Linked DNA regions of Danio rerio. The protein of the gene in region 2 purifies or fractionates together with the protein of the main gene of each other region. This does not show direct contact. Links are inferred from orthologs where the notes say so. Each region holds a gene or a part of one and is shown on either strand. Other genes may lie near its edges. The genes, in order: ppp6c and ankrd28b.

Region 1 (4,382 bases), on a different chromosome or scaffold from region 2:
ATATTTCTTATCAAATGGAATTGAGTTTGTCTTTGAGCTTGCTAAACTGTGCACTTTTCTGATGGACAAAATGTATGTTAATTGTTGCTTTAAAGCGGAACTTTTTTTAAAAAAAATTGTCCAAATGAAGTGCTGTAGCCTACTTGTTAATCTCATACATTGGGTATCATGACAGAAAAACTTATACTGTGCTCATTTTTGTATTTGTATTTTGTTTTATCTCCCATACTGCCAAAACCTGACAACATGCAACATGCCAGCTTCATTGCATTGACAAACATACACGTAAGCTGGTTATGCCCAGAACACATGAGAAAAAACAATGTATTTACATAATTTGAATAAAGTTTCAAATATAAAATGCCATTTAATATGAGATACAGAACATATGTAATATTTGTAAGCTGTAATATGATATATGTTTGATAGTAATTCCTGGACAGCCAGTTGTTGTCATGCTTTATCTGAACAATCCATTGAAATTTGTTTGGCTGTTGTCTTAAAATGCAGCAGAAATATATGTAACTTAATGAAATCAAGACGGTAGACTCATTTTTATAATAATGTATTGTACTTTTTTAATTTGTGATGTCTTTTTTCTCTTGGTAATTCAGTTCATCTATTGTATAAACTATTTGCAGTGGTCATCACTTGGTGGACGGTTCCTGATGTTTCCAACTAAAGCATACAAATAAAAGCAATGTAATAAAAGTAATGTATGAAATCATTTTTTTATTAATTCATTTTTTTATTGCAATAACAACAGGCAATTTTAAAAGACTGAAATACAATCAGATAGAAGTATAGCACAAATAATATAAATATTTTTTCAACAAGAGAAAAGGGACAATTTTAAAGAAATATAGTAAACGTAAAGCAAAAGAAAGACAAAGAAGAAACAAAAATAGATGAGAGGGCACATGAAAAAAATAGACAAATTAATGCAGGATATCAAATAAAGCACATATTTTATAAGTTTTAACTGCTTTCTTGTTATGAGAGTCTGTAGTGGTTTTCAAGTGCAGTTGTTATTCTCATTTGGCTTACATTGAGTATATTTACATTTATGAATAAAAAAAACTTTATAATAAATAATATGAGGTTTACAAAAAGTTGAAATAGTTTTTTCTTTAATATAAAACCCCAAAATGACATGTAAAAAGAAAAGAAAATTCACCACACACCTTTTGGAGAGAAGGCTACGCGTCAAGCAAACCTCTGTTGCCACCTCGTGGTCAGTCAGTAACTTGAGAATGTTTTTATAATAAGCCGAATGGAAGCAACCGCAATTGAATCACTTTAAAAAAAACTTTTTTTAATAAGCAGGCTCTTGCTAAATTAGTTTTTCAAGTTTACTTTGAGAACGCGATGAACAGAATGTAACGACTTTGCAAGTTCCATATAAAATCTGGCCTGCGATTGGCTGATCATCTTGTCAATCATCACCACTCTGTGTGACGTAGAAAGACTTCCTCTTCGCGTCTTCCATCGACTGTTGTTCTTAAAATGGCGCCGTTGGACCTGGATAAGTATGTTGAAATTGCGAGGCAGTGCAAATATCTACCAGAGAACGACTTAAAGGTGATTGATCTGAGTAATTTTATGTTTCTCTTAGAATATTGGACATGCTAGCGATTGATGTATTTATAAACTCGTGTTGGTTGTGGCGGAAGGTGTTAAAATAGCAGTGTGTCAGTGCAATGCAGTCGCTGCGTATGAGTCCAGTCTATTATCTTATGTTCCGGGATTGATTTCATTCGTATTTTCAGAAATAATCGTATATAACGTTACGACCGTAAGGACAGTTGGGCATAACAAAGTTGTGTAAGGGACTATTTTCTTGCGGACACATAGGGTGGCTAACTTCTGTTGCTATCATGCGAACTAGTTTGAAACGCCCATTTTATGCTTTCCATCATCAACCTTGTTAAATCTTAATTCATGACATCTGCGTCTTTGTTAGCAGGTTTCAGGTTTGATTAAATCGTCCTCCATTCGTTTGTTTTTAAATATAATTCTTGTACGTAAACAACTGGGCTTCTGGATCAGTTCATAATGATGCAATGCAACGTCTTACCAGTTTCATCCAGTACCGCCAAATATGACACAAAAATAGCAACAGTGATCAAACAAATGATTATACGATGTTGAAATAATGTGGCTTAGGAAAAAAAGCTCATTTTTAAATTAATAAATGTGACCTTAGATGCGCCGCTAGATCTGCTTCTGTCACCATCGTTGATAGCATTCACTTGACAAACTTGTTCAAATCTTGTCTTCATTTCTATTGCTTTGACAGAGATTATGTGACTATGTATGTGACCTTCTGCTTGAGGAATCAAATGTACAGCCAGTATCCACTCCAGTCACTGTATGCGGGGACATTCATGGACAGGTGTGTGTGCAGGCTCCATTAATGCATCCCTGGTATTGATGTTGAGCTGATGTCGTGTTTTTGTAAAAACATGCATACTGACTAAGCTTTTTTTTTTCTTTTATAAATAGTTTTATGACCTATGTGAACTCTTTAGAACTGGGGGCCAAGTACCAGATACAAACTACATTTTCATGGTGAAGTATATTACAACAATAATTTTAATTGATGATTTGTGATTAGTACTGCGTTGGAAATTGTTCCACCATCATCTATTGAGGAGACATTGGTATGTTTTCTTTCATCCAGGGTGACTTTGTTGACCGAGGATATTACAGCTTAGAAACATTCACATATTTGCTAGCACTTAAAGCAAAGTGGCCTGACCGCATCACACTGTTGCGTGGCAATCACGAGAGTAGGCAGATTACACAGGTCTATGGCTTTTATGGTAAGGCTGCAGAAATCAGAGATTTTGAAATATTTTGTTTTGAATTTACTTGGGATTTTAATTGTTTTGGCTTTCTGTCTACAGATGAGTGCCAAACTAAATATGGAAATGCTAATGCCTGGCGATACTGCACTAAAGTATTCGACATGCTCACTGTTGCTGCCGTAAGTGTTGATTTTGGAATACCTATCTGTCTGTCTATCTGTCTGTCTGTCTATCTATCAATCACACATCTCAACATTATCAATATTTGTTTTGGTCTTCTTACTAATGGGCCTCACTCAGGAAACACATGTTTTTGTTTAAATCAAATAATTTTAGGATGTTTTTGTTTAAATCAAATAATTTTTGGATTAATGAAACTGTTTATATTTCTAAGTATGAATTGGTATAAAAGAAATGTAGGAAACTATACATCCAGTTATTGTCTTGCGCTTATCCGGAGCTAGGTCATTGGGGCAGCAGTCTCAGGAGAGAACCTCATACTTCCCTCTCTCTGGGCACTTTCTCTAGTTCCACTGGGGGATCTTAAGGTATTCCCAGGCAAGCGAGTGACAGTTCCTTTAGCGAGTCATTGGTCTTCCCCTTAGCCTCCTCCTGGTGGGACAAGTCCAGAACAGTTCTAGGAAGCATTCAAAATAGATGTCTTGGCCACGTCTCTCCATGTGGAGTAGCGACTCTACACTGAGTCCCTCCTAAGTGATAGAGCTCCCTCACTCCATCTATAAGGGTACCCCCTGCCTCTCTGCGGAGGAAGTTAATTTCGACCACTTGCACCCAAGATCTTGAATTTATAGTCATGACTATAGGGCTGTGTCCGAAATCGCATATTTCCCTATTATATACTATGTGGAAAATCAACATGTAAGTGGAGCAGTTTGTCTTAATTCATATTATTTGGAAAAAACAGTATACGAGAAGTACTTGGAACACCTCTTGCTTCCAGTGAGATTGTGAAGTGTGCATCCGATAACCTCTACACTATCCTATGCGCGCTGTTTGTGTTGCTCTGTAATAACTCTTTCGAAACGCTAGCTGGCAGTGAGGTTTTTATGTTCCTCTGTGTCGAGTTTCTTCACTGTTTTTTTTTTTTTCGCTACCTCAATGTAGAACAGGGGTCTCAAACTCAATTTACCTGGGGGCCGCAGGAGGCAAAGTCTGGGTGAGGCTGGCCCGCATAAGGGATTTCACAAAAAAAAGTCCTCAAATGTCATTATTAACAGTTTTAATTATTTCTTCTGAACATGAAGTGTCCTGAACATTAATAGAACATTGAGTGAAGATTATGAACAGTTCTTCTGAACATGGCATCTTTTGCCTACTCCTTGCTGCCAGAGACTTGACAGCGCTTCTTCTCACAAATCTGAACCACATTTGGCTTTAGAGCGGAAGCAGTTGAGACCCTCAGTATGGCTTGGGGGAACTCACTCAAAACTTCCATTCCCTCACCTAAAAAAAAGGCGTATATGTATAAATAAAACACCCCCACCCCACTCCAGTCACATCAGTCTGTACCAGTCTGTATCTACCTATAATATATATAAGATGCAGGCTGTA
Region 2 (3,831 bases):
AGAAAGCACTAAATTGCTATTTTGAAAGTGTTTTCCTAAATGTATATTCTACTAAATTGAGATTCTGCTGCTCTGACTAATTTAGAGATGTACCTATTTAATCACAAAATGCTCTCTGCACATCAGCACATTTTAAGCTTGTTTGACAGCCGTGTGCTTGTTTTACATTGCTCCAATTACTATAAAACATGTGCTGTTAATAAAAGAAATGCACCTAATAACTATTTTGATACATTAAGGCCTATTACGATATCCATTTTTTGTTGAACGATATATATTGCACTAAAATATTTAGCGATTAAATGATATTATTGTCATTTTAAGACTATTTTATGCCACTCATATAACGCCAAAATGACAATATTACATCATTATAATGCAAGGTCACTCTTCCAAAGTACACATTTTATTCTTAAGAATATTTCATTTAACTATAGTAATAATGTAATAATTAGACATTGGAGTCAGAATGTCAAAATGTATGTTCTTAATAAATAATAATAAATGTTAACAAAAAATTGCAAGGTAAAATGTAACAGAGCCTGCGGTATCTTTTTTACTATAGTAAAATTTACTATAGTAATTTATTGTAGATCCTATAGTGTTTTTTTTTTTTTTCTTTTTTTAAACCATACTGACACTGTCCCTACTATTAGTATATTGCTTCACCAAAAATGATTGAGGTAATTTCCATGTCTTGTGTGATAATTCGATAAATTGATTATTGTAGCAAGGAAATCAGTGTTCATTTGAATTATTTAGCCGGCCATGTTTACTGTTCCAAAATATTATAAATCTTTCAAAAAATAAAATATATGCTTTTTAAAGGGGAAAATGTTTTATTTTTAACCCAGACATTTAAAAAGAATATATTTTAGAGCAGTAATCACAATACCGTTAAACCATAATATTTTTATCCAAGGTTATCATACCATCATAATCTTATACCGGCCCATGCCTAGTGTGGACATATCATGGTCAGAAGTAGCTTTATAGAAAATAATAGATAGAACAGATGTAAAAAAGTAAGAAAAATGACTAACAATGCAATTTGGAAAAATTGCAAATGATGGAAGAATAATTGTGGTTCAACTTGCACATTGAAAAAGTTTGGAATGCATATTTGATACATAAGAAATTAAAATGCATTTTCCTTTGCTGGTTGTAAACGGACATTTGCAATCGGTTCATGTGATCGGCCAGATTAGCGAGTACCAATTGAGTTCTAAAATGTGATTATCGGCCGATGCCGATCCGTCAGACCATCCCTAGTATTTATCTCACTAATTGAACACTATTTTCTCTTCATCCAGAGTAAGGATGGTAAAACTCCCCTACATATGACTGCAATCCACGGGAGGTTCTCAAGATCTCAGGCCATTATTCAAAACGGTAAGTCTTCAGTTTTACAGTGTACATTTATCAATGTGCAAGTGTGCAGTATCTGACTACATCTTGCTTGGCTGTGTGCTATATGTGTAGGTGCTGAGATAGACTGTGAAGATAAGAATGGGAACACTCCTCTGCACATCGCAGCCCGATACGGACATGAGCTTCTCATCAACACACTGATCACAAATGGAGCTGATACGGCCAAGTATGAATTTACATTGCTCTCTGCTTGATAACTACTTAACTTGGTAGCTTTGTTTAATTCAACATTTACTAACTGTAGACAGGCGGGTGTAGAATAAATTCACTATTTAACCCTTTTTGAAAATCTAAGAATGTTGTAATTGATGATGCATTAGGGCTGCATGATATTGGAAAAAAACTGACAGTGCTATATTTAGTTTTACTGCTAAATGTTGTAGCGATCTGACTGGGTAGGGGTGCCAACTCATATATTTATAAGTAAAAAATAAAAAATAATATTTATAAAGTCAGTGCTACATGGGATACAGAAGCAGTGCAATAACCCTAGTAACCCCTTATAGAGCTAAAGACAAAATAAATCAGACTAAACCAGTTTAAATTGCATTCTACTAATATTCAATTAGGTCTCCTTACAACCTCAAAATAACACTATATACATGTTTTACAACAGAAAAAATTTCAAACCCATTTCAACAAGCATTTGAATAATTCAACAAATCAAATGCACAAAACAAAATAATAATAATAATAAACCAAATAAAGAGGTACCTCTGTCGACTTGAAATTAACTTGATCCATGCACAAGATTAAACCACTGATTCACATCAATTTGTTAGAACCTTACATTCATTACTGTTATACAGAAATTCAATATAAACAATTCAAACAGTTCAATGATTCAGTCGGTTCAACATTTCAATGATTCACTCGGGTCAAACAATTCAACGATTCACTTGGTTTAAACAATTCAATGATTCATTCAGTTATAGTAATCAAGATGCTCAGTTTGTTTAAACAGTTCAATGATTCATTCAGTTCTAACTAAGATGCTCAGAGTTCGTCAAACAGTTTAATGATTCACTCGGATTCAATAACTCAGATGCTCACAGTTCGTTTAAACCGCTCAATGATTCATTCAATTCTAACTGAGATGCTCAGAGTTCGTCAAACAGTTCAATGATTCACTCGGTTTCAATAACTCAGATGCTCACATTTCGTTTAAATCGCTCAATGATTCATTCAGTTCTAACCGAGATGCTCACAGTTCATCAAACAGTTCAATAATTCGCTCTGTTTCAGTAACTCAGATGCTCACAGTTCGTCAAACGGTTCAATGATTCACTCGGTTTCTTTAACTCAGATGCTCACAGTTCGTTCAAAAAATTCAACGATTCATTCGGTTCTCGTAACTCAGATGCTCACAGTTCGTTCAAACAGTTTGATGTTTCACTCGAGAGTACGCTTTTGCTCATTCCCTCATAAACCATACATGAAGAGAAATAGTTAAGTTGCCGTAGTGCCGTAGACGTACTGCATCGTCGTCTGTTTTAGTCACAAATTAAAGTTAGATCAGCTCACCAGTCCGAAGGTTACAGGAGTTAACCAAACAAACACATTGTCTCTCAGCCAGACGATTCCTTTCAGCCTGAGCCATCATTGCCTGAGCTTCTAGCCGAAGCTCCGCATACTCTCTTCTTGGTGAACAAACACTTCCTTCTTTTATCCATTTCCCATGATAGAGAGGGGTTTTTTAAAATACATCACGTCCTATGTGGACATTAAGTGACCGCTTTCAGCTCGCCACAATGTGTTGCGATTAATTTTTCAAATATAATTTCACAAGTTGACTCTATTTGGAAAGAATTTATAGGGGAATTACCAACCTACGTCACACGGATTCTACCCCATATACCGGTTGCAAAAAAAGACTGGTTGCTATAACAAACATGTCGTGTTGTGCAGTAGGATGCCAAAATTGAAAGTCCAAAAATAGAAAACTTAAATTTTACCGTACACCACACTGCTTTTAATGCCAACCGCAGTCGTCTTTGGCTAACAGCCATCATAAGACCTAATTAAAAATGCTCGACTTTGCAGTTCTTATTTTATATCAGGTAAGTTTACGCTATGCTGAATCATACACCTATCTCGTTTTTGATTGCAGCAATGATTTCAGCAAAAACATTAAAATATTGTTAATTAAACTGCGGACACAGAATGCTTAGAATGAAATGTAAAAATGTAGGTTCACATACCCTGCTGTACAGGTGCAGTTTTATGTCAGAATGCAGTTGTTTTCTTGTTGATGATTACCCAGGCCTTGTACAGTTCCATCTTCTTTCCTTGTCTTTGGCTAGGCAGAACCTCGGTTTTTAGCACTACAAAGTTTTGAATCTTGGAGTCATGGAACATTATTTCTTGCACATAACCACATAGAACAAAATTGTAGGCATA

The links.
Region 1: the proteins of ankrd28b (region 2) and ppp6c purify together in Homo sapiens (affinity purification with mass spectrometry; 9 studies listed by BioGRID and IntAct, with this or other methods). This does not show direct contact. The link is inferred for Danio rerio from reciprocal best matches to the Homo sapiens genes ANKRD28 and PPP6C.

The regions. Positions count from the first base shown.
Region 1 is NC_133180.1:32,597,020-32,601,401, forward strand, and holds the start of ppp6c (serine/threonine-protein phosphatase 6 catalytic subunit), read left to right. Parts: upstream 1-1,429; 5' UTR 1,430-1,506; coding exon 1,507-1,581; intron 1,582-2,299; coding exon 2,300-2,395; intron 2,396-2,505; coding exon 2,506-2,571; intron 2,572-2,683; coding exon 2,684-2,825; intron 2,826-2,909; coding exon 2,910-2,989; intron 2,990-4,382.
Region 2 is NC_133191.1:21,476,921-21,480,751, forward strand, and holds part of ankrd28b (serine/threonine-protein phosphatase 6 regulatory ankyrin repeat subunit A), read left to right. Parts: intron 1-1,313; coding exon 1,314-1,392; intron 1,393-1,482; coding exon 1,483-1,597; intron 1,598-3,831. UniProt on the Homo sapiens protein: Regulatory subunit of protein phosphatase 6 (PP6) that may be involved in the recognition of phosphoprotein substrates. Involved in the PP6-mediated dephosphorylation of NFKBIE opposing its degradation in response to TNF-alpha.